2 linked regions of the Anolis sagrei genome follow. The protein of the gene in region 1 interacts with the protein of each later gene in a pairwise test. Links are inferred from orthologs where the notes say so. Each region holds a gene or a part of one and is shown on either strand. Other genes may lie near its edges.

Region 1 (16,206 bases):
TTATGAAATATAAAACAGATAAATGCAAATGTGGTCGTTGAGGCTTATAGAAAAAATAAATGTGTTTGGTTCCCCAAAGATAATCTAGTATAGCAAATAAATGTTCAGGATATGTACAGTGGCAATGATGTTACATGCCTGGATCTTTTGGGGGGGGGGGGGGGGAATCTATCACACTAGTATACAGGTTTTTTCCCATATCTGTAAGGGATATTAATTATAGGGGAGTTTCACTGCGACCCCTTCCACATTGCCATATAATCCAGATTATCAAAACAGAGTGTCCAAATTATTTGCTTTGAACTGGATTATATGAGTCTATACTATCATATAATCTAGTTCAAGCAGATAATTTGGATTTTATATAGCAGTGCAGAATGGCCTGAGCCTCAAAAGAGGGTCTGAGAAAATGTGTAACTCAGACCTCTGAACTTAGCTCCGGTCATATTGATGTGCATAACTGGATGGAACATGTGCAAAGTTAATCATGAAGAAGGCATATCCTGGGTTTGTTTGGTTGAAGCGCTAGAATTTCTTTGTGATATGGTGTTGGCTCATGACACCGTGGATGGAACTTTCCAGTCAGATTTAGGTTGACTCTGACTGGAAAGTTATTTTGATCAAGCTACTAACAAATGTAACATATAAGTTTGGATAAAATGCTAGCAGCAGTCATGTTGGGAGGTACACAATCCTACTGTACATATCACTTTTAACCAAAAAATGAAAATGTTACCAAAATGCTATGAAAATGTTTACCAAATGATATGAACTTTATCAAACAAAAGGTTGCAGAGGCTCTCCACTCTGGATTTTCAGATACAACTCAAAGTGAGAATTGTTTTATATTGTAACACTTTCAGCATTTTAAGAATATAATCTGATACATATTCTAAGGCACCAGTGTAACTCTATACATGAAGCAGGTCAACAGGTGTTGGCAATATTTGCCACCCTATCCATCACAACCAATAGATTTTGTGGCTTGGAAATTCAGTGTAGTCATCTCAGAAAGGTGATAAGAGCCGTGGTAGCCCATAAGCCTTTGGTGAAATAAAAAACACTAATACCTAAACAAAGTTTTAACCTTTTTTATAGAATAAATTAATTTTGATACTATGAAATAATCCAAGAGGAAATTTATATTTATAAAGCATTCTAACAAGTGTATTTTGGAGCAGGGCTTCTTAAACTTGTTTCTACTTTTGGCCTGAGAAATGTTTATGTAACTCCAGGCATATAGATATATTAAACAAATATAAAAATCAACCATTTACTGATAAGAAGTCAGTATTTGCAAGGATTGCTAAATAGGCTTTTTTTCTTCTCTTTTTGTGGAATACAGCAGAAGCATTTTCTGTAGAGTCTACTGTAAACACTGCACAAAAGAGTTGTTTAAATGTCTAAAACAGCCACTAGGCATTGATTAGAAATGTTCTAGGGACCAACATTGAGTGAAGGGGACCCCATTTGGGGTCTGGGCCCACAGTTTAAGAAGCGATACCTTTAGAGTATTTTTCAAAATTCAAAATCGTAATATACAAAACTAGCAGAAATATTTTTATGGTTGTCGCACAAAATAATACCCACTAAAGCTACTTTCATGAAGTTTCACAAAACTATTATTTATTGAGTAAAGTGGAAAATTTCATTATAGTATATCTTGTTTTCCTCAAATTGTTAAGCACTGAACTGCCTTTTTGACACCTTACCGTGCAGTATGTAAATCTCAATCCTCATTCCTACATATTTTCTAAAGTAGGGCTTTTCCCACTCAGAACCCTTCTTCAACTAAGAAATTTTTATGTGATCCCAGGTATATAGATATATAAAATAGGTATAGGATCAAACACTGGTTGATGACAAATCAAAATTTGGCAAGGCTTCCTAAACAGGCTGATTTTCCTTTTTATGAAGTACAGCTGAAGCATCTTCTGCAAAGTCCACTATAAACACTACACATTGTTGCTAACAGATTTCTGTATATGTCTAGGTGGCATTCAGAAACCTTTTAATGCTGCCAAATTTTTCACAACCCTAACACTGATTCCATTTGGGTTCAGCACTCACAGTTTATGAAGCAGTGTTCTAAAGCATATATGTCTAGATAAGACAATTTTGGAAAGGTTCACTCTTGCCAACTTTTTAGTTAAACATACATGATGTCATGTAATAACATTTTCCCAAAAACCTATTTACGATGTAAAGCACATTCTGCAAACTATTCGAAGTCGAGCATATACTAGTTTTAGTATAACTTTTTTAAAAGCCGAATATGAGGTTTTACAATATCAGAGAAAATTAAAAAGAGCAATGCAACTAAATAAAAATGTTTTGTGTAACCAAATTGGTTGAAACTGAAATTACTGGATAAGTTATCCAATCGTAGTAAAAAGATATAACTTTGTCTTTAAAAAATAAAAAAATACAGATGGGTTTCATTATATTCAACTCATTGGTACTCGTTACTACTTACTGATTTTATTTCCATTCTAAATGCACCTGCTTTCATCTTTCCATTAACAAACCTACATATCGACAGTCTGGTATCTGCTAAAATATTTTTGTTCTATCGAAGTCAAAGGCATCCTGAACATGCTTCCTTCCTTTATTGCTGTTGGGCTTTTTTGTTTTGTTTTTGTTTTTACAAATTGGTGATACAGGCATCTTTCTTGCCAGGCAATGCTTACTTCCTGCTGACTTCCTCAGTCCCTCCCACCATCAAGCACTCCCCATGGTTTTTAAAGTTTTAATTTCTAAAACTTCTGCCACGTTTCTGGAGACACATCTGTGACAGAAGACCCTTTTTTGCACTGGTTGAGCATCCCTTAATCAGAATGCCAAAATACTCCAAATAGATGACATGGATGGCTAAGATCTATCATCTATCATTTCATGAACAAAATTATGTTTAAAATAATATGCCTAAAGTCACCTTCCATCTATATCAGTGGTTCCCAACCTGTGGTCCATGGACCACCAGTGGTCTGCAAGAAATCAAATACGGTCCACAGCTTCACCATTACTACAACGGTGCAACGAGAGTGACTGGTCTCATGAAACTCTCTTATAGTGCCGAGGCTTATTAAATATGGTTTTCTGTGGGTTAGCAGATGACGACTACTGGATAGCATATACGTATCAGAAACTAGAGCTGATGTAGTCTAGCCAATGCAATTTTCTGATTCAGCGGCCCAAATAACCAAATTGAATCTAAAATCAACCAAAAACTGATTCGTAACCCTTTTGATACTAATGTTGGAGAGTGGTCCCTGGTCAAAAAAAGGTTGGGAACCACTGATTTATATGAAGTAAAAGAAACACAAATTTGTGTACAGTCTTGGGTCCTATCTCCATTATATCTCTTCAGGCAAATGCAAATATTCCAAAATCTAGGAGAAAGGAATTCCCAAACACTTCTGGCCCCAAGCTTTTTGGGTAATGAGGGAGACTCCACCATGCTTAATATTTACCCTTTTGCAGAGGATGCACATCTGCCCCAGAACCGCCTGCTTTGCAAACCCATTAAAACCCCCTCCAACCTGGCATGCAAAGTGACCCTCCGGCCACCCTGGAGAGATCATTATTATTACTACTTATAGGACATTTTTCCTCTTAAGACTCAAAGTAGCAGACAGCACTAAAACAACACAACATACACATCAAAACCTACAGACGTGAAATAGTATGAAACTCGAGAACCACTTTAAAATAGTTTAAAAACACAGAGACAACACAGAAAAGCCACCGAAATCCACAAGCATGTGAACAATTCCAACAGAAAGGAGGAAACAATGAAAATGAACAAAATCTGGCTACCAGTGTTAAAAAAATATATAAAATCAGGACTGTAAATAAAGAACAAAACTCAGAAGACAGGAGAATTCCTGACATTAAATAATGAGGGCCAGTTAACACCTCCCAACAAAGGATTCCCCTGGGCAGAAAGCAGCCAGGCTTTGAAACTACAAGGCTATTCAGTGCTAATCAAACTGACCAATTGCAACATTCCCATCTGCCTCAACCAAACAAGGGTTTTCTCCCACCCTGGACATTGCAGAGATTTATAAACCCCACTTGCCTAGTTTCCAACAAACCTCACAACCTCTGAGGATGCCTGTCATAGATGTGGGCAAAACATCAGGAGAGAATGCTTCTCGAATATGGCCATACAGCCCGGAAAACTCACAGCAACCCAGTTTAAAATCATTAAAACCTTTTAAATTGGTATATGCAATACATATAACATATTCTCCTTACCCTCAAAAAATAAAAACACACAGGAGTGGTGTACTGCCTCATAAGTGAGGTGGTAACCTTTTAAGCAAACACTGGATGGTTCTCTGTGGGGAATGCTTTGATTGTGCAGGACTCCCGCATGGCTGAATAGGGTTTGGACTGGATGGCCCTCAGGGAGCCCTCCCAGAAGGAACTCCCTGATAAGTGGTTTATTTATTTACTTACTTACTTCATTTGTATACTGCTTTTCTCACCCCAGGGGGACTCAAAGTGGTTTCCAACATATTCAAGGCAAAATTGAATACCTCATTGCATACATATGAAAAAGCAACAATAACAACGTTTCGCTACCAATTAAATCAACCTGTTCTCTACCAGTGGGTCCCCGGGTGTTTCGGCCTACAACTCCCAGATATCCCAGCTAGTTTACCTGCTGTTAGGATTTCTGGGAGTTGAAGGCCAAAACATCGGGGGACCCACAGGTTGAGAACCACTGCCAGAGTGTGGTGGAGGCGCCTCCTTTGGAGGCATTTAAATAGACTTAAGCAGAGACTGGATAGCTCTCTGTGGGGAATGCTTTGATTGTGCTGGACTCCCGCATGGCTGAATAGGGTTTGGACTGGATGGCCCTCAGGGAGCCCTCCCAGAAGGAACTCCTTCCCTCTGAGCAGTGGTTTATTTATTTATTTACTTACTTACTTCATTTGTATACTGCTTTTCTCACCCCAGGGGGACTCAAAGTGGTTTCCAACATATTCAAGGCAAAATTGAATACCTCATTGCATACATATGAAAAAGCAACAATAACAACGTTTCGCTACCAATTAAATCAACCTGTTCTCTACCAGTGGGTCCCCGGGTGTTTCGGCCTACAACTCCCAGATATCCCAGCTAGTTTACCTGCTGTTAGGATTTCTGGGAGTTGAAGGCCAAAACATCGGGGGACCCACAGGTTGAGAACCACTGCCAGAGTGTGGTGGAGGCGCCTCCTTTGGAGGCATTTAAATAGACTTAAGCAGAGACTGGATAGCTCTCTGTGGGGAATGCTTTGATTGTGCTGGACTCCCGCATGGCTGAATAGGGTTTGGACTGGATGGCCCTCAGGGAGCCCTCCCAGAAGGAACTCCTTCCCTCTGAGCAGTGGTTTATTTATTTATTTACTTACTTCATTTGTATACTGCTTTTCTCACCCCAGGGGGACTCAAAGTGGTTTCCAACATATTCATGGCAAAATTTAATACCTCATCGCATACATACGAAAACCCAACAGAAAACAACAATATTGCACTATCAATTAAATCAGGGGTCCTCAAACTTTTTAAACAGAGGGCCAGGTCATAGTCCCTCAAACTGATGGAGGGCCAGGTCATAATTTGAAAAAATAAATAAACATGAATTAATTCCTATGCACACTGATATCTTATTTGTAGTGCAAAACACTTTAAAACAATACAATAATTAAAATGAAGAACAATTTTAACAAATATAAATTTATTGGTATTTCAATGGGAAGTGTGAGCCTGCTTTTGGCTGATGAGATGGAATTGTTGTTATCCTGTGCTTTCAAGTCATTTTAGACTTAGGTTGACCCTGAGCGAGGGCCAGGTAAATGAGCTTGGAGGGCTGTATCTGGCCCCCGGGTCTTAGTCCCCCCTCGGGGGTTGAGAAGGGCAGGGTAGAAATGTGCAAAATAAATAATAGTTTGAGGACCCCTGAATTAAATCAACCTGCTCTCAACCTGTGAGTCCCCGGGTATTTTGGCCTACAACTCCCAGGTATCCCATCCAGTTTACCTGCTGTTAGGATTTCTGGGAGTTGAAGGCCAAAACATCTGGGGACCCACAGGTTGAGAACCACTGGCAGTGTGGTGGAGGCGCCTCCTTTGGAGGCATTTAAATAGAGCAGATTCTCAACCTGTGGCTCCCCAGATGTTTTGGCCTTCAACTCCCAGAAATCCTAACAACTGGCAAACTGACTGGAATTTATGTATATGTCTGTATACCTTGTATGTCAAAATTGGCATTGAATGCTTGCCATATATGTATGTGTTCATTGTAATCCGCCCTGAGTCCCCTGCGGGGTGAGAAGGGCGGAATATAAATGCTGTAAATAAAATAAATTTCTGGGAGTTGTAGGCCAAAACACCTAGGGACCTATAGGTTGGGAAACACTGAAATAGAGGCTGGATGGCCATCTGCCGGGGGTGTTTTGATTGTGCATGGAGCTGGACTAGATGGCCCATGTGGTCTCTCTCTCTCTTCCAACTCTATGATTCTACCTGGGGTGCTGGAATTTATGTATATGTCTTTATATGTCTGTTTATGTGTATGTCTGTATACGTCGTATGCCAAAATTGGCATTGAATGTTTGCTATATATGAGTCTCTGAGTCCCCTGTGGGGGGGGGGGGGTTATCGTGTCAGGAGCGACTTGAGAAACTGCAAGTCGCTTCTGGTGTGAGAGAATTGACCATCTGCAAGGACCTTGCCCAGGGGACGCCGGGATGATTTTATGTTTTTATCATCCTTTTGGGAGGCTTCTCTCATGTCCCCGCTTGGGGAGCTGGAGCTGGCAGAGGGAGCTCATCCAACTCTCCCCGGATTTGAACCTGTGACCTGTTGGTCTTCAGTCCTGCCGGCACAGGGGTTTAACCCACTGCGCCACCAGGGGCTCCATCCCTGTGGGGTGAGAAGGGCGGAATATAAATGCTGTAAATAAAATAAATTTCTGGGAGTTGTAGGCCAAAACACCTAGGGAACTATAGTTTGGGAAACACTGAAATAGAGGCTGGATGGCCATCTGCCAGGGGTGTTTTGATTGTGCATGGAGCTGGACTAGATGGCCCATGTGGTCTCTCTCTCTCTTCCAACTCTATGATTATACCTGGGGTGCTGCTGTAGGTGCTGTGGCTCCTGAAGCTGCTTTCGGTGCAGTAGCTGCCATCGTCGTCGTCCTCCTCCTCCATCTCCTCGGGGCAGTCCGAAGGGATGCCTCCTGCACCGACGCCGCCGTCCTCCTCCTCGTTTTCCACCACCACCACCTCCTCGTCCTCCTCCTCGCCCTCCATGGCCTCCTCTTCATCCGAGCCGGGCTTCCCCTCGGAGTCGGCTCCCTCTTCCTCCTCCTCTTCCTCCTCGGATAACGCGCTCTCCTCTTCTTCTTCCTCGTCGTCCTCCTCCTCGCTCTCATGGTCGTCGTACACGACTTTGCTGCTCCTCCGGGAAGAGGAGGCCCTGCCCTGACTACTGCTGTGGCGGCTCTTGCCTCCGCCTCCTCCTCCTCCTGCGGCCGCCCTGCCCCTTCCCCGGCCACTACTGCCTCCCCCGCCAGGGGTGCTGCTCCCTCCGCCGCCTTTCCTCCGGCCGCCCCCTCGGGTGGGAGGAGAGCCCCCCGCTGATGCTGCTGCCGCCGCCGCCCCTCTCGGCCTGGGCCCGGCCGCCTTGCCCGCCTGGGCCTTGGCCGCCCACCTGCCCCGGCTGCTGCCCCGCAGGCGCGACCTCAGCCCCCCGGTGGGCCCCGTGGGGGAAGCCGCAGCGGCAGCCGAGGCCCCGCTTCTGGAAGCCGCCGGCTGCGGGTGCTTAGGCGGCCTGCCTCGCCGTCCCCGCATCGCTGGGCGCTGGCTGGCAGGCTGAGGGAGACTGCGAGGCCGCTCGGGAGGCCGCTGGAGAAGGGCGGCGGGCGCTCCGGGAGCGCCTCCTCCCCGCGCTGGGGGACGAGACCCGGAGGCCCGGCAGGGAGCTCGGAGGCCCGGCCCGGGGAAGGGCTCAGTCTCTAGCGCCGGCGCCCCGCTCCGGACCGCCGCCGGCCGCCATCTTGTTTCTTCTTCTTCGCCTCAGACTCGGGGAAGCGGCGGCAGGCCTTGGGAGGGTCACGTGGGCAGGGCTGCGCGCGCAAGGGGGGCCCGCCAGGGGGCGCGCGAGGGCTGCGCGAGGCGGCGGCGGCGGCCCAGCAGAAGGCCTTCGAACTGCTTGAGGAGCCTCGGCAGGGCTCTCCTCTCCCAGCGCCCTTCCACACAGCCACAGAACCCAGGATATCAAGGCGGATCATCCACAATATCTGCTTGGAAATGGGTTATGTGGCAGTGTGGACTCAGATAACCCAGTTCAAAGCAGATACTGATATTCTAGGTTATATAGCTCTTCCACACAGCCACAGAACCCAGGAGATGAAGGCAGATCATCCACAATATCTGCAATGGAACTGGGTTATATGGCAGTGTGGACTCAGATAACCCAGTTCAAAGCAGATACTGATATTCTAGGTTACATAGCTCTTCCACACAGCCACAGAACCCAGGAGATCAAGGCAGATCATCCACAATATCTGCTTGGAAATGGGTTATGTGGCAGTGTGGACTCAGATAACCCAGTTCAAAGCAGATACTGATATTCTAGGTTATATGGTCCTTCCACACAGCCACAGAACCCAGGATATCAAGGCAGATCATCCACAATATCTGCATGGAACTGGGTTATATGGCATTGTGGACTTAGATAACCCAGTTCAAAGCAGATACTGATATTCTGGGTTATATGGATGTGTGGAAGGGCCCTCTGCACCCTTCCACACAGCCACAGAACCCAGGAGATCAAGGCAGATGATCCACAATATCACCTTGTACAGGATTATCTGAGGCCTCTTCCACACAGCTGAATAAAACCCCATATTTTCCGCTTTGAACTGGGATATCAATATAAATAAAAATGTAAAGTTCGTTTGTGGGATTAACATAACTAAAAAACCACTGGACGAATTGACACAAAATTTGGACACAATACACCTAACAGTCCAACAAGTGACCATCACCCCTAAATAAACACACACAAGCACACACAACCCCAGCTAAACAGACTTAAAAACCCCAAAAATACACAATATATACATATACACATATACTCATATACACATGCACACATTCAAACACACATATATATGCACAAACACACATATATACACACATACACACAGAAATACACAAATGTATACACCCATATATATATATATATATATATATATGCACACACACATATATACACAAATATATACAAACACATAAACACATATATACACACACAAAACATATACACAGACTGGGCCACAGCAATGTGTGGCAGGGGACGGCCACGCATTGCTGTGGTCTGTCTTACTTACTCAATGCCAGAGATACAGCTTAATAGTGTAACATTAGAAAATGTTGACCATTTCCGCTACCTTGGCACCACCAAAGTCACTGCCTGAGCTTTGCAAGTGCAGCATTTTTCCAAATGAAGCAGAGTGTTTGAGGACCGGGACATCCGTAAGGATACCAAGGTGCTTATTTATAAAGCTGTTGTCCCTCCAACCCTGCTATATGCTTGCGAAACGTGGACTGTCTACAGACGTCACATGCAACTCCTGGAATGACTCCATCAGCGCTGTCTCTGGGAAATACTGCAAATCTCTTGGGAAGAATCAGAGACCACCAGCATTGAAGCAATGGTCCTCTACCATCAACTCTGCTGGACCGGCCACGTTATCTGGATGCCCGACCACTGTTTCCCAAAGCAGTTGCTCTATTCCGAACTCAAAACAGAAAACGGAATGTTGGAGGACAGGAAAAGAGATTTAAAGATGGGCTCAAAGCCAACCTTAAAAACTCTGGCATAGACACTGAGAACTGGGAAGCCCTGGCCCTTGCGCGCTCCAGATGGAGGTCACCTGTGACCAGCAGTGCTGTAGAATTTGAAGAAGCATGAATGGAGAGCAAAAGAGAGAAAAGTGCCAAGAGGAAGGTGCCAACCCCGACCGAGACCACCTTCCACCTGGAAACCAATGCCCTCACTGTGGGAGAAGATGCAGATCAAGAATAGGGCTCCACAGTCACCTATGGATCCACCACATACTGCACACTGACCCTGGAGAACCATCATCCTCGGACAACGAGGGATCGCCTAACTGTAAACTCAATTGCCGAGTATACCTGCCCTGTTTGGCATAGGTCTGCCCATGCAAAGCAGGTGAACATAGCATTCAATTAAACAATACAATACAATATACACATATTTTAAAATTTTCTATCTTATTAATAGGGGAGCTTATTATTTATTTATTTATTTATTTAGAACTTTTCACCTCTGCAGAGGGACTCAGGCCGGTTCACAACAATAGTATCACAGACAATCATTTAAAAACATCACATCCCATAATACACTAAAACATTAAAATACTAAAATACAATCATATAATTACATAGGCCAAGTCTTCAAAATGAAATCGTAGTTCATCACCATCCGTCTGTGTAGTCACGGGTTATTAACTCACTCGTCAAATGCCAGTTTCCAGAGCCAGGTTTTCACCTGTTTTCTAAAGAGAAGGGGCAGTTCTGATCTCCAGTGGGAGAGAGTTCCAGAGCCGAGGGGCCACCACCGAGAAGGCCCTGTCCCTCGTCCCCACCAGGTGTGATTGCGAGGATGGTGGGACCAAGAGCAGAGCCCCTCCAGAAGATCTTAACAATCTTGATGGTTCATAGGGGAGAATCCATTCGGACAGGTAAACTGGGCCGGAGTCGTTTAGGGATTTATAGGTTAACACCAGCACTCCTGTTAGTAATCTGGCTGCTGCTCGTTGGACTAATTGGAGCTTCCGGGCAGTCTTCAGAGGCAACCCCACGTAGAGAACGTTGCAGTAGTCTAAACAGGATGTAACCAGAGCATGGACCACCGTGGTCAAGTCAGACTTCCCAAGGTATGGGTGCAGCTGGCGCACAAGTTTTAATTGTACAAAAGCTCCCCTGACCACCGCCGAGACCTGGGGCTCCAGGCTCAGCGAGGAGTCCAGGATCACTCCCAGACTGCGAACCTGCGCCTTCAGGGGGAGTGTAACCCCGTCAAGCACAGGCTGTAACCCTATGCCCTGTTCAGCCTTTTGACTGACCAGGAGTACCTCTGTCTTGTCTGGATTTAGTTTCAATCTGTTGGCCCTCATCTAGTCCGTTACAGTTCAGGACTTGAACAGCCACCTTACTAACAGCCTCCTTAGCTTAAAAATATATCAACCTATCCCCTTCCCCCTCAAAATGGATGGACGGATGGACGGACAGACAGACAGATAGACAGATGATTGTATGAAAAGCACTTAAGAATGTATTATCTTAACCATTTCTGCCTTATATTGTGTCATAACATAGAGGACATGAAAGAGCACAGCCTTCTCAGTGGTTGCTCTCCAGTTGTGGAACTTTCTACATCGGAAATCAGGTTGACTCCATCTGCTGGCAGGCAATGTCCATTCTTTATTTAAGAAGACATTTAGTTTTCAGTATATTGCAGCAGATAGAGCTTTTAATGAGAAGTCTCTGTGTGTTAGTACTATATTTTATTGTGTTTTGAACATTTTAGTGTTTTTCAGTTGTGTTTTTAAAAAAATTAAATTTACTTTATTTGTGTTTTAACTTGTGTATTAAGGATTTAAAATGTATTGTGTTGTTGTTCTGTACACTGCCTTGATTCCTATGTTGGGAGAAAGTCGGGATTTAAATTTAATAAGTAGCCGCAATGAGTACACTAAAGGGTACAGTCTTCACTGATAATATTTATTTATTTATTTATTTATTTCAGGTATTTTTACCCCGCCTTTCTCAACCCTCTAGGGGGGACTCAGGTCGTCTTCCAATCGGCACATATTCGATGCCTGCAATTAAACACAATAAAATACACAACAAACAGTAATTATAAATAATTAAAACATTGAGTTAATACAATAAAATCTACTAGAAAAGAAGCCAGCCTGGTGGCCATCACTTTGCAGCCTCCCAGAGAAGAGATTAACAATTCGGCAACCATTCTGCATCCAGGCACATTACTTCCATACAGTGCTAGCATCAGGTTTAGAGAGATCTTTAGAGTAAAAATTTCCGTGCTCTCTAACCTTGAAGAAGTAAGGTGTACACTTAGGCGACCCCTCATAGTCCGAGGGTGATGGTCCTCTAAGTGTAGTGTCCTGGCGGTGGGTCCATAGGCGACTGTGGAGCCCTGTTCTTGATTTGCATCTTCTCCCGCAGTGAGGGCATCGGTTTCCAGGTGGAAGGTGGTCTTGGTCGGGGCTGGCTTGGCGCGCCTTCCTCTTGGCATGTTTTTCTCTTTCGCCCTCCATTTGTGCAAATTCTGCAGCACTGCTGGTCACAGCTGACCTCCAACTCGAGCGCTCAAGGACCAGGGCTTCCCAGTTCTCAGTGTCTATGCCAGAGTTTTTAAGGTTTGCTTTGAGCCCGTCTTTAAATCTCTTTTCCTGCCCTCCAACATTCCATTTTCTGTTCTTGAGTTCGGAGTAGAGCAACTGTTTTGGGAGACGGTGATCGGGCATCCGGTCAACATGGCCAGTCCAGCGGAGTTGATGGCGGAGGACCATCGCTTCAATGCTGGTGGTCTTTGCTTCTTCCACCACGCTGACATTTGTCCGCTTGTATTCCCAAGATATTTGCAGGATTTTTCGGAGGCAGCGCCGATGGAATCAAACCAGGTACACAAACCAGGAATTGACTTCATTTGGGGTGTTTGCAAAGAATCACTACCCCACAGTTGTTCACAGTATGGTTGATCCCAATTATGTTTCCATGGCATGCTTGGGGTTTGCACATGTTCCAAGTCTAAATTGGACTTTCGGTTTTGGAAGCCAGTTTTAGTATCTATGTATCCAGGACAGAATTCAAAGGCATGGTCATTTTAGTCTGCAATATCCATATGCAAAGGGATCTGGTATCATTTCCATAGAGAGAGAAAAGCTTATAGTACTACCAAATTCTCTATACATTGCTATAAGACCCATTTGCAAATATAGCCACATGTTACTCATGAGTGCAGTGTTGCGACTGAGGGAAGTCATAGTCCCACTCTGTTCTGCTTTGGTCAGATCCCACCTAGAATAACACTGCATCCAGTTGTGGGCACCACAGTTTAAGAGGGACATTGACAAGCTGGAAGGTGTCCAGACTAAAATGGTCAAAGGTCTGGATACCAAGCCCTATGAGGAACAACTGAAAGAGCTGGGTATGTTTAGCCTGCAGAAGAGAAGGTTGAGAAGAGACATAATAGCCATGACGTCACATTGAGGAAGGGGCAAGCTTGTTTTCTGCTGCCCTGGAGACTAGGACACAATGGAGCAACGGATTCAAATTGCAGGACAAGAGATTTCACCTAAACATCAGGAGGAACTTTCTGATGGTAAGAGTTGGTAGGCATTAAATAATTTAGCCATCCAGTGCAATAACAAAACAAAAGGCTAGCTTGAACCCATCTCTTTTGCAAATTACATTTCACTTCATGGCAACCTATAGAGGTCTCCCAATCTCAGTCCTCAGAATTGTGCTTTGAAAGCCAAAGGAATACTAAAAGCTTGTCACAAAAGCTCTCTTAGTACAAAAGCTCTCCACAGACAGCTCTTACCACAAAAGGGAAAGACAAATACATAACAAAACAGTTGGGCCTACCTTTTAACAGAGAAGCACCCGAATTTGTCACCTATGATACATAGTACAAAGAAGTAGGTTCTCCCATTCAAATAGCGGAGGAGAAAATGCATTTGCCTCCTCTCACTCTCTGCATGATATTTGTGATATCCTTTTCTTTCTGTTCCGAACACAAGCACACAAATGGCTGTGATCAATGACTGGGCGATAGAAAATAGGGAAAGCAGACCATTTAAACTATGGTATCTTTTAACATTAATCATTTGGACATTAATCAGAAGACGCTTACTTCTTGGGAGGAGAGCAATGTCCAGTCTCGATAAAAGAGTAAAGAGTAGAGACATCAGACTGGCAACAAAGATCCGCCTAGTCAAAGCCATGGTATTCCCTGTAGTCACCTACGGATGTGAGAGCTGGACCTTAGGGAAGGCTGAGCGAAGGAAGATCGATGCTTTTGAGCTGTGGTGTTGGAGGAAAGTGCTGAGAGTGCCTTGGACTGCGAGAAGATCCAACCAGTCCATCCTCCAGGAAATAAAGCCCGACTGCTCACTGGAGGGAAAGATACTAGAGACAAAGTTGAAGTACTTTGGCCACATCATGAGGAGACAGGAAAGCCTAGAGAAGACAATGATGCTGGGGAAAGTGGAAGGCAAAAGGAAGAGGGGCCGACCAAGGGCAAGATGGATGGATGGCATCCTTGAAGTGACTGGACTGACCTTGAGGGAGCTGGGGGTGGTAACGGCCGACAGGGAGCTCTGGCGTAGGCTGGTCCATGAGGTCACGAAGAGTCGGAGACGACTGAACGAATGAACAACAACAACATTTGGAGGTGGTGGAAATAATGTTTCCACTTTGGCAACTTTGATTGGCAAGGTTTCCCTTTTCTAACATATAACCATTTGACTCACATATACAACATATAACACATGGTTTATTCTGCTAATACTTTTGTTATGGGATTTCAGCTTCTGTAAGGACCACAGGTTCGGAGCCCAATGTATCAAGCCTTCAGGAAGCCAGATGAGGCACAGATGAGATGAAGCAAAAACAGAGGCTTTATTCTCAATGGCAAAAGAGGATGTCAGTGGAGACGGTGCTCCAAATAATAGACATACTGCAATTGCGAACATTTATTTTTAAAATATTTATTTCTAGCATTTTGATTTTAAAGATTTATTTCTAACATTCAAGACTACTGCACTGGCTTCTGATTGGCCGGACATGTGGCCAGCTAAGATCTACTCCCCTGGTTGGTCTTTGTTTTAATAATTTTATTCATGGTTTTTCATTGACAATAAAAACAGCTTTGAAAAGGGAGGGGAGTGCGTTAGGGTACGGGAAAAAGGAAGGGGGTGAGGGAAGACAGGGGTAGGGAAGACACTTGGGGGGGGGGGTGTTCTTCCGTCTCTCACCATATAAGCATTTACAGTAAACATTTCTCTACTCTTCATTTCCTTGGCAGTGAGTCTGTATAAATGAGATTTATTCTTGTTGTTGTTTCTGTTCTATTAATAGAAGTACTTTATTTTCTTTCATCCAAATATTTAAGGGTGTCCAATCCGTCTTCTTCATATGTTTATTGTGGGCCTCTGTCAGTAAATATGTCAGTTTATCCATAATTTCCATTATCCATTCTTCTATCTGTGGCCTAGTTTCTTGTTTCCACGACTTAGCGTAGACTATTCTCACTGCTGTAATCATATAGGAAAAGAGCCTGTCTTCATTGATACTCCACTGTATATCTATCATCTCTAGAAGAAAACTTTCAGGTTTGAATAGGATTTTCTTTTTTAGTACTTTTTGGCAAATTTCTGAGATTTCCATCCAATAAGATCTAGCCACTTCACAGGTCCACCACATATGGGTGAAGGACCCTCTACACTTCCCACATTTCCAGCACCTATCATTCACATTTTTATTGAATTTCGCTATTTTATGTGGAGTCATATACCATCAGTAAAGCATTTTAATCCAATTCTCTTTAAGAGCGTACGCATAGGTATAGTTCATTCTCCTATTCCACATTATTTCTCAGTCCTCTAGCGGTATTGTTCTTCCTATGTCCTTTGCCCATTTGATCATGCAGTTTTTAATCAGATCTTTTTCAGTGCTCCACTCCAATAATTGTTTATAATTTTTTGTGATTTTTTTTTTACTTTCAAAGATCTTTAGCCATGTTGGTTGGTCTTAACTGTGGTGGAAAACTTTTATAAACTGTCATTGGGTTATTTTGAAGATTTGTGTCAATTTATTGATACATCCAGTATAGGGGCATGATTGAAGGGGATGCAGTTGGTCTTGATATCCCAGCTCTGGTTAAAACAATGTGTGCCAGTTGGGTAAACAAAAGGTGCTCAAGGTGTTGGCAATCTCAATGGGAACCCCCGAAGGGGATCTAATTTGGTGACTGAGATGAGGAAGTGTTCCTAGGATTAAACCTGATCATATCAGGAAAAACAGGAAAAGACCCAGAGGCTCTTGCGTAAGCTGGTTGTGTGTTCCATATCACTTCCTGGGATATTGTGA
Region 2 (16,171 bases), on another chromosome or scaffold:
ATGATGGATTCAGCAGCCATTTTGTCTTCTAAAGAATAAAATAAATAAATAAACTTTATTTATACCTTGACACCATCTCCTGGAATGAATTCGGGATGGCTCACAAAAGCACTCTGGAGCGCCGCACATAAAATAAACAGTACGTAAGCATATAAATTATAACAATATAAGTTTACAACAGCGAACACACATAAAACATCACATTAAAATTCATAAAATGCCTGCGGATAAAACTGGCCGTCTTCAATTGACGATTCAAAATGCCGAAGTGAAGCAATCACTAAATCCTCAAATCTAACCATTAAAATCTTTTCAAGGGCAAAGGCCTGTTTAAAAAGCCATGTTTTTAGACTAGACCAAAAAACTTGGGAGAGTGGGGACTAACCTAATGTCTCTGGGGAGGGTATTACAGAGCTGCAGGGCCACCACTGAGAAGGCCCTCTCTCTTGTTCCCACCAACCGTACTTGGGACAGTGGTGGGACTGAGAGAAGGCCCTCCCCGGCAGATCTCAGAGTCTGCTACAGTTACTAGGAGGAGATGAGGTCTCAAAGATAGGTTGGATCCAAAACGTATTGGGGCTTATAGGTAATAGATTGCACTTTGAATTGGATCTGGAAACTTGTTGGAAGCCAGTAGAGCTGTTTTAATAGGGACAGAGTATCTCCCTATAACTAGCCCTAGTTAGTAATCTGGTTGCCCATCTTTGCACTGACTGCAGCTCTTCTGAACCGTCTTCAAAGACAGCCCCACATAGAGTGCATTGCAGTAGCCCATTCTGGATGTAACTAAGGCGTGGACCACCGTAGCCAAGTCTGGCTTTTCAAAGTAAAGACGACTACAGAAGGAATGAAGCATTAGATTAGAATCCTCTGGGACAGGGATATCAAACTCATTTTCACTGAGGGCAACATCAGCCTTATATTTGGGGCATTGACTCCATGGAGGGAAAATCCATGGATACAGAAGGCCAACTATAATTTATTTTACATAGTGGTTGGTGCTCTTGACTTTTTACCCAATTTGGGCCCCCAGGTGTTATTGATCCACAACTCCCATAACTTTTTATTATCTGCCATGCATACTGGGGATAATGGGAATTGCAACCCATTCGCATTTGAGATTCTGAGGTTGGGAAAACATTAAAGGTTTTAAAGTCAGGCCTCATATCCACAAGTCTTATATCTAAATTCGAACCATGCTGTCCTGGTTAAACAGAACAAACTGCAGCCTTCCAGGTGTTGCTATATCACAACTCCCATCAGTTCTAGTCATGATATCTAACGAGGAGAAATACATCTTGGGAATTAAGATCATCTGTGGAGGCCATGCTTTTAGTCCCACCTGCTTTGCAAACATGGCTGGTGGGGACGAGAGACAGAGCCTTCTCAGTGGTGGCCCCTTGTCTATGGAACTCCCTCCTGAGGGATATTAGATCAGCCCCCTCCCTCCTAGCCTTCAGAAGGAGAGTCAAGACCTGGATCTCGGAGCAGGCTTTTGAAAACTAATGCAGTACAATAACCTTAATGTGGAATAATGTGCAATTTGACTACGAAATGGCCTTAGACTCTGGATTATGGATGGTGTATTTTTAACACTGGCTGGAATGTATTTTATTATGTTCAATATGTTAGTTTTTATTCCAATTTATTTTAAGTCACTATTGTATGTTGTGAGGCATTATGTAAGTGCCAACTGTAAGCTGCCTGGAGTCCTCCTCGAGGTAGAGAAAGGCGGGATATACTGTATATACTCGAGTATAAATCTAGTTTTTCAGCCCCTTTTTTAGGCTGAAAAAGCTCCCCTCGGCTTATACTCGAGTCAAGGTTATTTATTCTTTTACTCTGTTATTAGTATTATTTTATTACATTTATTATTTCACTCTATTATTATTATATTTACATTATTTTGTTCTATTATTGTATTTATTATTTTGCTCTATTATTATTATTATTATTATTATTATTACATTTATTATTTTAATCTATTTATTATTATTATTATTATTACATTCACAGTATTTTACCCTATTATTATTATTACATTTATTATTTTAATCTTTTTATTATTATTATTTTTATTATTTTTATTATTACATTCACAGTATTTTACCCTATTATTATTACATTTATAGTATGTTGTGCTATTATTACTACATTTATTATTTTACTCTATTATTGTTTTATTGCATTTTCATTATTTTACTCTATTATTTTTATTATATTTATTATTTTAATAATAAGCACATTTACATTGAAGGAGGCTAGAATAATGGTTTAATAAGAGTTGGGCAGTCATATCTTAAATTACAGTTTTATGTAAATATTCAGAAACGTTTAGCCTATTGATGCCTCAATTAATGTAATTTTATTGGTATCTATTTTTATTTTGAAATTGACCCATAGTGGATGCATTTCCCACCCTCGGCTTATACTCGAGTCAATACGTTTTCCATGTTTTTTGTGATAAAATTAGGTGCCTCGGTTTATATTCGGGTCGGCTTATACTCGAGTATATACGGTAAATAAGGTAAATAAATAAATAGATAAATACAGGAGTTGTAGTCCAGCATTTGGAGAGCTGCACAGAATTACATAGTGGGCTGGATTCAGCCAGTGGGCCTTGAGTTTGATGCACGCAGTTTGAGAGAAGACGCCATTATGGCAATGGCCTTTAACCCATTGCCTTCCAGGTGTTTTGGACTCTAAATCCCATTTCCCTTAGACAATGTGGTGTCTACTGGCTCGGGATGATGGGAACTGAAATCCAGCAAATCTGTAATGTGCCTAGCGGGGTAAGAAGCTGTAGGGCAGACACACCCTGTCCTCTTGCTCATCTCTCCTCCAACCACTAACTGGCAGGGCTTTGAGGAATCCAGAAACACCCAATGCCCACTGTAACGCAACACATTTATTGTGTTTAATCCTTCAACAAACTGAGGAAACCAGCCTGGCCTGTATCGGGAAGTTATGATACAGAAAACCCTTGAGGTCCTATTACAGGGACACACCTACTTCCAGTAACTAGAATAACCCTCCCCATGGCTATGCGTTACTAGCAGCTCATGACTCTTCTGATCACGGAAATGATAGGAAATGAGCTTACCAGACCTAAATCCTGCTGAAAATGTAAACTTCAGGCTTAACTCCTGGACAAGCCTAGAGCAACTTGAGCTGGAACAGGGAGAAAGGTGGCAAATTCAGATTTCTATGCAATGAAACCAACAGGAAGAATCAGAGTCCACATTACTCAAGGAGTCAGATGGACTGCTTTATGGCAAAGAGAAGTTCTCCACCCATTTTCTGAGCAATCATTATAGCCCTGAGATCTCATACAGTCTTTAATCAAGCAACTTTCTAACTCTAGAGAGAAATAAATTACAAGGGAAGGAAGTGAGACCTGGAAAACAGTGGGAGACTCCCATTTCTCACTTGGAAGGTGCAAGAGAAGGAAGGAAGGAAGGAAGGAAGGAAGGAAGGAAGGAAGGAAGGAAGGAAGGAAGGAAGGAGGGAAGGAAGGAAACCTTACCGTGCAAGAGAGCTTGTTTTCTCTTTCTGCTATATCCTCTTGTGGGTTAGGCAAAAATCCCCCCTCCCTAAAGATTTATTTCCTGGTAGAGGAGGAGCAAACTCTTGTGGGGAAGAGAGCCTGTTAAAGGGCAAGCAGATTATGAAATATTCTCCTTTACACATGAGTCATTGGAAAACATAGGCAAATCATAATGGCAAAGCAGGCATAAGGGAATGTACCCAACAACTGAATGGCGAGGAGGGATACTTGCAATACATTTTGAAGTGCAGCCAACCCCTTTTCATTCAGGTCTGCATGAAGATGACTTGGCCGCAAAAGATGGCATGTGTATGTGTGTATGGGGCAATGGGGTCTCTATGCTGCATGATGAAGATGTTTGTGGTTTCGACATTGGACAACTTGGGAGAACACGCTGCTTGGCCCTTAAAACTCACTGAGTGATGGGGTGTGAAACTTATGGCGATCGTTCATGTGAAAGGGATCTAGGAGGGATCACAACCTCTGAGGATGCCTGTCATAGATGCAGGTGAAACGTCAGGAGAGAATGCTTCTGGAACATGGCCATCCATCCCGGGAAACTTCCAACAACCCTGTGATTCCGACCATGGAAGCCTTCACATGGAAGATACACGGATCTAGGAGTCTGAGTAGACCACGAGCTGAACCTGAGTCAACAGTGTGATACTGCAGCTAAAAAGGACTCTAAGATCCTTTTCACTCGTCCTGCTATCGAGCCAAGTATGGTCCCCCATTCTGTATCTTTGCATTTCATTTTTTCTGCCTAAGTGGCGTATCTTGCATTTGTGCCTGTTGAACTTCATTTTGTTAGTTTTGGCCCATCTCTCTAATCTGTTAAGATCAGACACCCCTATCATGTTGCGATTTCATATGGTCTCCAGTCTTGCCACATTGTTGCTGTTGTATGTCTTTGACACATTGTATGCCTGGTTATAGGGTCACCGTAAGTTGGAAACTTACAGAATCCAATGGGATTTTTGCCTGCATAAATAGGAGTCTGGTGTCTTGATCCAGGGAAGTCCTGCTACCCCTCTATTCTGCCTTGGTCAGACCACACCTGGAATCACACTGTGTCCAATTCTGGGCACCACAATTGAAGGAAGATGTTGACAAGCTGGAATGTGTCAAGAGGAGGGCGACTAAAATGATCAAGGGTCTGGAGAACAAGCCCTATGAGGCTTAAATAGCTGGGCATGTTTAGCCTGCAGAAAAAAAGGCTGAGATGAGACATAATGAGGGCCGTGTATAAATATGTGAGGGAAAGTCATAGTGAGGAGGGAGGAGGCTTTTTTTCTGCTGCCTTGGAGACTAAGACACAGAACAATGGCTTCAAACTACAGGAAAGGCGTTTCCACCGGAACATTAGGAAGAACTGTGAGAGCTATTCAGCAGTGGAACTCTCTGTCCCGGAGTGTGGTGGAAGCTCCTCCTTTGGAAGCTTTTAAATAGGCTGGATGGCCATCTGTCAGGGATGTTTTGAATGTGATTTTCCTGCTTCTTGGCGGGGGGCTGGACCGGATGGCCCATGAGGTGTCTTCCAACGCTTATAATTCTGATTCTTGGAGGGGGAGACACAAAGGGGGCAGTTCTATAGCTACCCCCCCCCCCAATCCCAAACAGGATCAACGACGTAATCTGCTGGAGTGCCAGGACAATCAATTGGCCTTCCCCACACTAGCAAATATATGAGACAATAACAAGACTTAAAAGTTTTACTATCACTTGTTTCAAATTAGAGTCGAGGATATCCGAGATCATTTTTGCGTCGAACTAGCAATTTGAATGGCAATATTTCTTTACCGTGATCCATGTAGAAAGTACTGCGAAGGGTGAGGCAATCCCTGATCAAACACTATAAAAACTAGTGTAAGTTCTGTTTACTTTCCTGTTTTCAAAGGCACTCAAGCTCATCTAGAGACAAGGATTTGGGCAGTATAACAACAAACGCTATGGGGCAGGGCTCCTGTGCCTTTAACAGCTTGATGAAAAGAGGGAATGTGGCAGGTGTACCTTTGTGTCATTTTGCTCCCATACAGAGAATTCGGGGTAGTTCTTAAAGACACAAACAAACATAAGCTCTATCCCAAATATAATCCACTTTCTTGCATGTTAATGTACTGTAAAGAATATGTAATATATGTGGCTTGGAGTGATTCTGGCCATGAAAGTCTTCTACCACACATATTTTATCATACATGGGCAAGGACACAAAGAACTAGAGTGGAAAGACAGCTTGCAGTATTGATATGTATTTAGGGGCAGTTGATACAGTGGGCGTATTTTTATTCCATAAAGCACAGATTTCCAAATATTCATATAGAAATGCTCCCTTGGTTTATGAAAGCTACCGCCTCACCATGCTTTCCCAAAGTGCTATGCTTATAATATAATGTAATGTAATATAATATAGTGTATATACATATATTTATAATATATTTGTAATATTATTAATATTACATGATATATAAATATGTAATTATACTATCATATTATTAGTATTATATTGCATTAAAATACGAATATTATTTATTTATTTATTTATTTATTTATTTACAGCTTTTATATTCCGCCCTTCTCACCCCGCAGGGGACTCAGGGCGGATTACAGTGTACACATATATGGCAAACATTCAATGCCAATTTTGACATACAACATATACAGACATAGACAGAGGCTATTTAACTTTTTCTGGCCGCCAGGGGAGCTGTCGCCTTTATCGTCCATCTGCGACGCTGATGAAGTACTTCCGCATTCCCCACATGCTTTTTGTTGGAGTGCTTGCTGAAGTCTTTTTTAATGGTCTCATAAATTAGTTAATTTAGCCTCCCCACACTTTAAGGTGGTACCTTATTTTCCTACTTGACAAATGCAACTGTCTTTCGGGTTGCAAAGGTCGACAACAGGCTACACAATGGTTGGAAACCCACTCCAACCTGGGCTAGCTTCGAACTCATGACCTTTGGTCAGAGTGATCTTAATGCAGCTGACACTCAGCCAGCTGCGCCACAATCCCAGTGCATTATATATATATATTTCTTGTAATATTAATAATATTACAATATAATGGTATAGTACTATAAAGTAATAATAATAATAATAATAATAATAATAATAATAAACTTTATTTGTACCCCGCCAACATCTCCCCAAAAGGGACTCGGAGCGGCTTACATGGGGCCAAGCCCGAACAAAAATTACAATATAACAATACAAATTACAATCAAATAAAAAACATAATAGTAAAATATAAAACATCATAATATTTAACATAATATTTAATACTGATATTGTACTATGCTAATAACATATTGTATGTATGTATATATATGTATATATCTTGCAAGCCGCTCTAAGTACCCTTCGAGGTGAGAAGGGCGGCATACAAATGTCCTAAATACATAAAGTCGGGTCAGCACTCAAATGAAAGCAAATCATTTCACGCGCCATTGAATTGCATGAAAACGTGAGGTCATACATCAACCAGCAAGTTGCCAACCTCTACCAGTACGCATGCGCTGACTTTCTCCCGCAGTCTCCCTGCTTGGAGCACACGCATGCGTAGAACAGTCCTTTTCCTGGATTCGGGCATCTTGCCGCGGATGCGCGCTGGGGACCCATGGGTCTTGGAACGGCCGACCATTTTGGCCGCGCATGCGCTCTTAATGTTATTTACAAGAACCTGCCCGGGCGCGCGACCCGTCGGTCAAGCAGCCCTTCTGCGCACGAGCGCATTGTTTTCCGAGCACCCGCCTCCGTCTACCAGTCCTGGCTTCCTTACATGGCGCATGCGCACTTCAAAAAAACCTCCCCACCGACCATAGCACCGCGCTTTTCAACCCCGCATGCGCGTTGAAAAAATTGACTTTCAAAAATTGCGGGTTTGAATACTTTTTAATTTCACCCAGCTATTTAAAAAAAGAATCTAAAATGGGGCCTTAATTCACAGAAGGACCAACTGAAGGGTAGCGTTGGTCACGCGAGAAGGCGGCCTTTTTGTTGTCGTAGTAGTGTCTCCTCTGGCGCTAAGCCGCCCGCCATTTTCTTTGCCTTCTTGCTCAGATCGGTTACGTCATCGCTGTCGTGCGCAAACCTGAAGTGTGGTGCAGTCCTGGGTGTTTTTCCTCAGAAGACCAAAGGGCAATGTTCCCTCTAAGGCACCCTCATAGTGACAAGCAAAATGGAGTCCCTTTGGTTCACTGTTTCTCTCACTGTAGCTACAATTACCCATTGAGGAAATCTTGTTGAACCTAGTGGAACCTTTCTCCCTCTGAATAAACTGAATAAAAAACTAAATCTGAAACGAACACACTAATCCAGGCATGGGTTGGGCCCTCCAGGTGTTTTGGACTTCAACTCCCACCATTCCTGACCTCAGGCCTTAACTCCCACCATTCCATGGGCAAACTTGGACCCTCTAGGTGTTTTGGACTTCAACTCCCACCATTCCTGACCTCAGGCTTTTTCCTTTTCCCCCCTCAGCCGCTTAAGCAGCTGAGGGGGGAAAAGGAAAAGGCCTGAGGTCAGGAATGGTGGGAGTTGAAGTCCAAAACACCTGGAGGGCCCAAGTTTGCCCATGCCTACACTAACCTAAATGTTTGCCCATGCAGAGGGGAAACAATCAGGCACATCTAATCACCTCTCAACAAAAGATTGCCCCAGGCACTGCCAGGCCATCAAATGCTAATCAAGGTGGTCAGTTGAAACATTCGCACCTAGCTCCAACAGAGTTCTTTGCCCCACCCTGGTCATTCCACAGATATATAAACCCACTTTCCTAGTTCCAATAAACCTCACTACCTCTGAGGGATGCTTGCCATAGATGCAGGCGAAACGTCAGGAGAAAATGCCTCAGTCTAGAACAGGGGTCCACAAACTTTCTAAACAGAGGGCCAGGTCACAGTAGCTTAAACTGTTGGAGGGCCGGATTATAATTTGAAAAAACCACAAATGAATTCATATGTACACTGCACATATCTTATTTGTAGTTCAAAAGACACTTAAAAACAATACAATAATTAAAATGAAGAACAATGTAAACAAATATAAACTTATTAGTATTTTAATGGGAAGTGTGGTCCTGCTTTTGGCTGATGAGATAGGGTTGTTGTTATTGTTGTGTGCTTTCAAGTCGTGTCAGACTTAGATTGACCGAGCAAGGGCTGGATAAATGACCTTGGAGGGCCGTATCTGGCCTTTGGTCCTTAGTTTGAGGACCCCTGTTCTAGAGGCATTTTCTCCAAACGTTTCGCCTGCATCTATGGCAAGCTACCTCTGAGGATGCTTGCCATAGATGCAGGCGAAACGTCAGGAGAAATGCCTCTAGAACATGGCTCTATAGCCCGAAAAAACCCACAAGAACCTAGATAAATAAATGTTTTAAATAAATAAATAAATGATCTGAATAATCCGATTTAGTTGACAGAATGTTTTAAAAGCACGAAATTTGTTATTTCATGTATAGGCAAACTTGGGCCCTGCAGGTGTTTTGGTTGTTAGGAACTGTGGGATTCGAAGCCCAAAACACTTGGAGGGCCCAAGTTCGCCCATGCCTGTGTTATTGTCTGTGAACCCTGGCGGCCATTTTGTGTGAGGAGAGGCTGTCACTCAAACGAGAAAACTAACGGGGAGGGGAAAAGAGGCGACCGTTACTCGTGCGCGCGGCCGCCTCGTCCCCAGCCAATCCGATTTCGCCTCTGAAAGGCACAGAACCCTGCGGTGGCAGCGCTCGCCGCTCCGCCCAATCAGAGAGCCCTACACGGAGAGGGCCTTTGCGCGCCCCCGCGCGTGCCGGCCCCACCCAATCGCTACCTGCCGCCTTTCTCCTCCACACCCCTCCTTTATTTTTTCCCCCCTCCCTCTCAGGAAAGAAAAAAAAAACCTGTGGGAGGGGGGAGGGGGGCGCCTGAGCGGGCGCGCGCGCGCAAGGGAGAGAGAGAGAGAGGAGAAAAAAAAAGGGACCAATCAGCGCGCGCGCCGAGCTCTCCTCGCGCCGCTGCCTCCTCCTCGCTCGCTCGCTCCCCCCTCCCACCTCACTCCCCCCGCCCGCGCGGCGTCGTCGCTTGCTCCCCGCTCGCTCCCCCCTCCCTTCCCGGCCCCCCCTCCTCTTTTTTCGCCGAGACGAGCCCCCCCCTTCGTGGCCGCCGCCGCCGCCATGGACCCGAGCAACTGGAGCAGCTTCATCTTCCAGGTAACCCCCCTCCTTTTTCCTCCTCCACCTTCCCCCCCTCCCTTCGTCTAAAAAAAGGGGGGGAGAGGGAGGGAGGGAGAGAGAGAGAGAGAGCGCGGGGAAGGACAAGAGAGCTTCGAAGTTTCCCCGCTCACACCCTCCCTGCCCCGCCCCTCCCCTCGGGAATCCCAGCGGGCGGGGGGCCTCTTGCGCGCGCGGGCCAGCAGGGCGCACTCCGCACGCGCTCACTCACTCCCTCCCCCGCCCCCCTCTCTCCCTCGCCTCGCGCCTCTCCTGCTGCTGCTGCCCCAACGGTCACCTCCCCTCCGCCCAGCAATGCTGCTGCTGCCGCTGCTGCCTCCTCGCGCCTCGCGCTGCCCTGCCCCGCCCCTCCCCTCTCCTCCCTGCGCCTCGCGCCTTCTCCCCTCGCCCCCCTCCCTTGCCTTCCCCTCCGCGCGCGCCAACGGTCACCTCCCCCTCGCTCGGCCCAGCCCCTCCCTCCCCTCCCGCTCGCCTTTTCTCTCCTTCTTCTCCCTCCCAAAATGTCTCCCTCCTGAGACCCACATAGATGTACCACGAGCAGCCCGTGCCCCCCGCTTCGTCTTCTTCTTCTTCCTCCTCCTTCCCCTCGTGCCCCCTTCAACCCAAATGGCAAAGATGGCCCCTGGCATACTGCTCTCTTAACCCCCCAGAGGCGCCAGCCCCGCTCGGCCATGCTTGCCCTGCCTGGTGGCTTCCCGGCCCCCAGGGTGTGCTTGCCTTCAGGAGCAGGGGAGGAGGCCACGGCCACACTCTGCTGGGGTGTCAACAGGTGCGTGGATTTCCCCCACCTGTTTCTGTGTGCTCCTTTGAGGGAGGGGGCAAGGAAAGGGAGGAAGGAGCTCTCATGCCCTTCCTTCTTCGCTCCTGGTCCCCAAATCTAATACTAATACTAATAATTGTATTACCCATTTTACCCAACAGCCTAACTTATTTTTCCTGATCCCCAGAATTTAATACTAATGCTAATATTAATACTACTACTACTGCTAATAATAATAAATTGTATTGCCTACACACCTTACCCAACAGCCTGACTTATTTCCTGATACCCAGAATTTAATACTAATGCTACGACTACTACTAATAATAAATTGTATTTCCTACACTCCTTACCCAACAGCCTGACTTATTTCCTGATCCCCAGACTGTAATACCAATGCTAATAATACTAATACTGCTAATAATAAATTGTATTGCCTACACTAATATTGTACTATGTTAATATATTGTATGTGTGTGTGTGTGTGTGTGTATGTATGTATGTGTGTGTATATATATATATATATATATATATATATATATAGTAAGCCGCTCTGAGTCCCCTTCACAATGAGAAGGGCGGCATATAAATGACATAAATAAATAAATACACACCTTGCCCAAAAGTCTGGCTTATTTCCTGATCCCCAGAATTTAATACTAATGCTAGTAATAATATTAATACTACTACTACTAATAATAATAATAATAATAAATTGTATTGCCTACACACTTTACCCAACAGCCGGACTTATTTCCTGATCCCCAGAATTTAATACTAATGCTAATATTAATACTACTACTACTAATAATAATAATAATAAATGGTATTGCCTACATACCTTACCCAACAGCCTGACTTATTTCCTGGTCCCCAGAATTTAATACTAATGCTAATGATACTAATACTGCTAATAATAAATTGTATTGCCTACACTGATATTGTACTATGTTAATAATATAATATATTGTATGTATATATACCTTGTAAGCCGCTCTGACTCCCCTTTGGGGTGAGAAGGGCGGCATATAAATGTCATAAATAAATAAATACACACCTTTCCCAACAGCCTGACTTATTTCCTGATCTCCAGAATTTGATGCTAATGCTAATAATACTAATAATAATAGGTTTACTGTGAGTTTTCTGGGCTGTATGGCCATGTTCCAGAAGCATTCTTTCCTGACATTTTGCCACCTCTAAGTCAGGCATCCTTAGATTGTGAGGTATATTGAAAATTAAGCAAGGGAGGTTTATATATCTGGAAGGTCCAGGGTGGGAGAAAGAACTCTTGTCTGTTGGAGGCAAGTGTGCTGCCCCAAAGATCACCTCCCCTCCGCCCAGCAATTAATCACTGATTAGCATTGCAAGGCCTTGCAGCTTCAAGGCCTGGCTGATTCCTGCCTGGGGGAAGCCTTTCTTAAGAGATGTTAGCTGGCCTTGATTGTTTCATGTCTGGAATTCCTGTTTTTGAGTGTTGTTCTTTATTTACTCTCCTGATTTTAGATTTTTTAAAATACTGATGCCAGATTTTGTTCATTTTCATGGTTTCCTCCTTTTTGTTGATATTTTCCTCACGCTTGTGGATTTAAATGGCTTCTCTGTGTAGTCTGACATGGTGGTTGTTAGAGCGGTTCAGCATTTCTGTGTTCTCCAACAATATGCTGTGTCCATGTTGGTTCATCAAGTGCTAGCAATCAGGGCCAGCTAACTCCTCCCAAATAAAGATCCCTCCAGGCAGGAATCATCCAGGCCTTGAAGCTGGAAAACTTACAGCAACCCAGTGATTCCGTCCATGAAAGCCTTTGACAACATACTAAGAATAATTTTTTTTATTGCCTACTCACCTCACCCAACAGCCTGACTTATTTCCTGGCCCCCAGGGTTTACTTACCATCAGGTGCATCTACACACACAGCGTGGGGGGTCATTACCACACTGTTCCGGTGTCAGCCCACCCATTTCTGTGTGCTAACCTCTGGTTTCTTGTGGGTAAGAAAAGGCAGGAAGGACTTTCTTACCTGCCGCTCACAGCTGATGAAGATTGTGATAGAGACACGAGTTGCCTGCAATTAAAGTAGTAAATTACCTTGGGTTTACTGTGAATAAATTTGACTGCTAAAACCCTGGAGGTTTCAACCCCACTCGGCTGTACTTTCTTGCCCAAATGATACTTCCTTGTTACTTCCTGACACCCCCCCCCCCCCAAACACCAGAGTTTACTTACCCTCAGTATAGGAGGTCATTTCCACACTATATTCTGGCATCGGTGAGTGTGGTGTTCATTCCCCCACCTATTTCTGGGTATGAACCCTTAAGGAGTGGGTGGTTTCTTGTAGTCAGGAAGTGAAGGAAGCTCTTTCTCTCACTTCCTTGATCTTTCTTCCCTTGTCATCCACACCTGCTGACAGTTATGATAGAAACATTATTTGCTGCAATTAAAAAGTTGTAATTACCTTGAGTTGCACTTCTATTTTACTGTGGGTGGCCCAATTTGGTGTAGCTCTTTCAAGGGCCTCTCCCCATTGACTTTTCCCCTCATATTTGTTTGTTCTTTCACTGCCTTATGCTTTTTAACCACCCACAGCCCATGGAGCCCCTTCTCTTGACCTTCCACTTCACAGTAAGACAAAGGCCCCTTTCACACAGCTGAATAAAATCCCACATTATTGCTTTGAACTAGACTATATGACAGTGTGAAAGATAACTCAGTTCAAATCGGATATTGTGAGATTTTCTGCCTTGATATTCTGGATTATATGGCTCTGTAGAAGGGGCCCAAAATTCTCTTTAAAGTCATGATTCCTTGCTCTCTCTTCACAGTATCTCTCTAAAAAATAACCTGCTTATTGGTCTCTTGCTTAGTGCCAGCGCCGCTTCTTGCCTTGGCCCTCCTTTCTCCCGGTGCTTATCCCTCCTGCCCAGGATTTCCTCTTTGCAGTGTACTGCCTAGGCCTTTCCTTTTGCAGATAGGCCACTTGCTTCTCTAGCCACCCCTAAGTGCCCTTCTTTCCCCAGGATAAATGCACACAAGATACTGCTTTCTTGGATCCCAACTCTTCATCTATATCAAAAATCAATTCTGGTTAGTGTAGCTCTACTCCTTGGACCGGATCTCCACCTGACACAGCGCCTGCCCATATCTGCTGGAATCTCTTGTCTGCTCCCTTTTCCTCCTTCCCAGCATAATGAAATTTTCTTTATCTTAGTATTCTGTTCATTACATCCCATTTCACCCAGGGTAATTTTGTTTCCTACTATTTTCTTACAAAATAATCATTACCTCATTTATATTTTTTTTCAAATTCTAAATTATACTTATGAGAATCTACAGAAGTACTGTATGACCCCATATCCAATATCCCCAGTTTCACTCCAAAAAATATTCTCCCCCAAATGTATTTCTGGCCAACCATACTGTAGAATAGTGCTGGGGATTCAGATATGCTTATGGATCTCTCTAGGTTCTCCAGTCTTTGTTATACCACCAGCTCAAGTATAGTCAAAATGTAGGATTCACTATTATCTACAATTTCAGGAATCCACAATGGGGCTTGGGAATATCCTTCAGGGATTCAGAGTCCACACTGTAACGGAACTATAAGCCTTTGCAGTCCCCCACACACTACCAAAATTATGTTAACTTTACTTAATACACAGTATTTCCTACATTGAGCCCTTTTCTCACAGATTAAGGATGTCTGCCATAGATTCAGGTGAAACGTCAGGAGAGAATGCTTCTGGAACATGGCCATACAGCCCAAAAAACTTACAGCAACCCAGTGATTCCGGTCATGAAAGCCTTCGACAATACATTAAATTAAATTAAAAGCATTGCCTGATCTCTTTCTTTTTGTCTCTTTAGCAGAGTCATACTCAGAACCCTCTACAGGTTGGGGCCGAAATCCAGTCCAGGTTTTTTGCCGCTCAGGGCTGCGGTCAAAGCCCCTTCCAGGTGAGCTTTGAGCAACAAATGGAAAGCAGTGGACTCCTTTGAAAACAACTACCTCAATGCTGAAGACCTAATTTGTCAAAATAAATAACTTCTTCCTGTAAGGGGTTGTCTATTGTACACATTCTTTTACATTTTCTGTACCTATTAATGTTTTTTTTTTTACATTATTTCAGAGCTCTAAGATATTAGAAGTCGTGTAATTTTATTGCATTGGTGGGACCAATATAGAAATAATAACTTAAGAAAACCTATCCCATTCTATTATGTCTGTAGCAGAGTTTTGAAACACATATTCAGTGTGTACTGTTTTGTAAGAAATCTACTCTCCCAGTCCATGTAATCTAACAAGTAATTAATCTGTTTATGTCACTGTTTTGTTTTTTTAAACCAAAGAGTGTGCTCAAGACAGCTGCATGTTTCTGTATTTTTTGGTTGTACACATAAATATTAATTCATTTTTATTAATCAGCTGAGAAGTTAACAATTTAAAACTCATTTGTTACAAATTCAGATAACTTTTATCCTATGTATATTCACTTACAAGTCAGTCCAGCCACATACATTGTCAGGAAACGTGTTTCCAGTGACAGATCCAAATACTGAAGCTTCCTTCCTCTGGTGATGGTTTCTCAGTATCCAAAACCAGAGGAAATTTTAGACTGTGTTTTTAAAATGTAGAGTTGGTCAAACACAAAAGTAATGAAGACTGCACTTCTGTGCTTCTTCGTTTTCTTATAGTTCAGATTTGACAAATTTGATCCAAATATTCTGGCCAGTTTCTTATTATTGTAAGAGGGTAAATGGGGTTGTCAAATTATGATCCCTGCAGAACATGACATTCATTTTAAAATATTGTGAAAATAGCTGGTTTGTTTTTGGATTTTTGAGAAATAGAAAGATTTATGTATGAAATGTTAGATCAAAAATGGGTTATGTAACTTATTGTGATGTTTTCCCCCAAACACATTGATAAAATGTTTTGTCCATTTTACTGACAAGTGTACTGAGACTAAGTCTGCAGGCAAATGTTTACATTTCTGGGATGTCTTGTAGGGCCCATTGGAACGAACTTCCCAAATTTGTTAGCATCTGGTACTGTACACCATTTTGTCCAAGATCATGTACTAACATCTGAACTGGAGTTTTATTTTGAACTTCTCTAGTGTTCCAAATTTAACAACTACATCATTCTTGGTTTTTACTGTAAAATGATTACATGTCATGTTATTTATTGTCTCACTATATAATATATGACTTAAGATTGTCACATCAGTATAATAGTTCCTCTTTCCTGCTGTCTAAGCACTGGAATAATAAGGCTTCATCTTCTAAATTTTGCTTTACTTCAAGAGTATAGCTAATACATAAACATTTCTGAATTGTTTGAAGGATAGTATGTTTAACAGGTCTAAACATACTATCCTTCAACCCTACATTCTGTTTTCATAATTTGTTGTAAGTATTTGGGGCAAGAGTTTAGAACAAATGAATATCTAAGGCATCCTTATCCCGATTCTTTGAATTTCTTGTTTCTGTAAGTTGCCAATTATTTGTAAATCATTTCTATTCTGAAGAAATCCACAAATGTTTAGAGTTCTATTATTTCTATAACTGCAGGGTCTCTCACACCATTTATACTCTTAGGTGACAATTTTAAATTCTTGCATACAAAATCATTGGGTTGGAAGAGACCCCAGGGGC

What was found.
Region 2: the proteins of BPTF (region 1) and MAZ interact in a two-hybrid assay, tested with the Homo sapiens proteins (2 studies listed by BioGRID). The link is inferred for Anolis sagrei from reciprocal best matches to the Homo sapiens genes BPTF and MAZ.

The regions. Positions count from the first base shown.
Region 1 is NC_090022.1:180,067,427-180,083,632, forward strand, and holds the start of BPTF (nucleosome-remodeling factor subunit BPTF), read right to left. Parts: upstream 8,094-16,206; 5' UTR 7,846-8,093; coding exon 7,122-7,845; intron 1-7,121. UniProt on the Homo sapiens protein: Regulatory subunit of the ATP-dependent NURF-1 and NURF-5 ISWI chromatin remodeling complexes, which form ordered nucleosome arrays on chromatin and facilitate access to DNA during DNA-templated processes such as DNA replication, transcription, and repair.
Region 2 is NC_090026.1:17,342,253-17,358,423, reverse strand, and holds the start of MAZ (myc-associated zinc finger protein), read left to right. Parts: upstream 1-10,002; 5' UTR 10,003-10,281; coding exon 10,282-10,524; intron 10,525-14,380; coding exon 14,381-14,470; intron 14,471-16,171. Other genes in the region: MVP (major vault protein), read right to left, coding at 1-20. UniProt on the Homo sapiens protein: Transcriptional regulator, potentially with dual roles in transcription initiation and termination.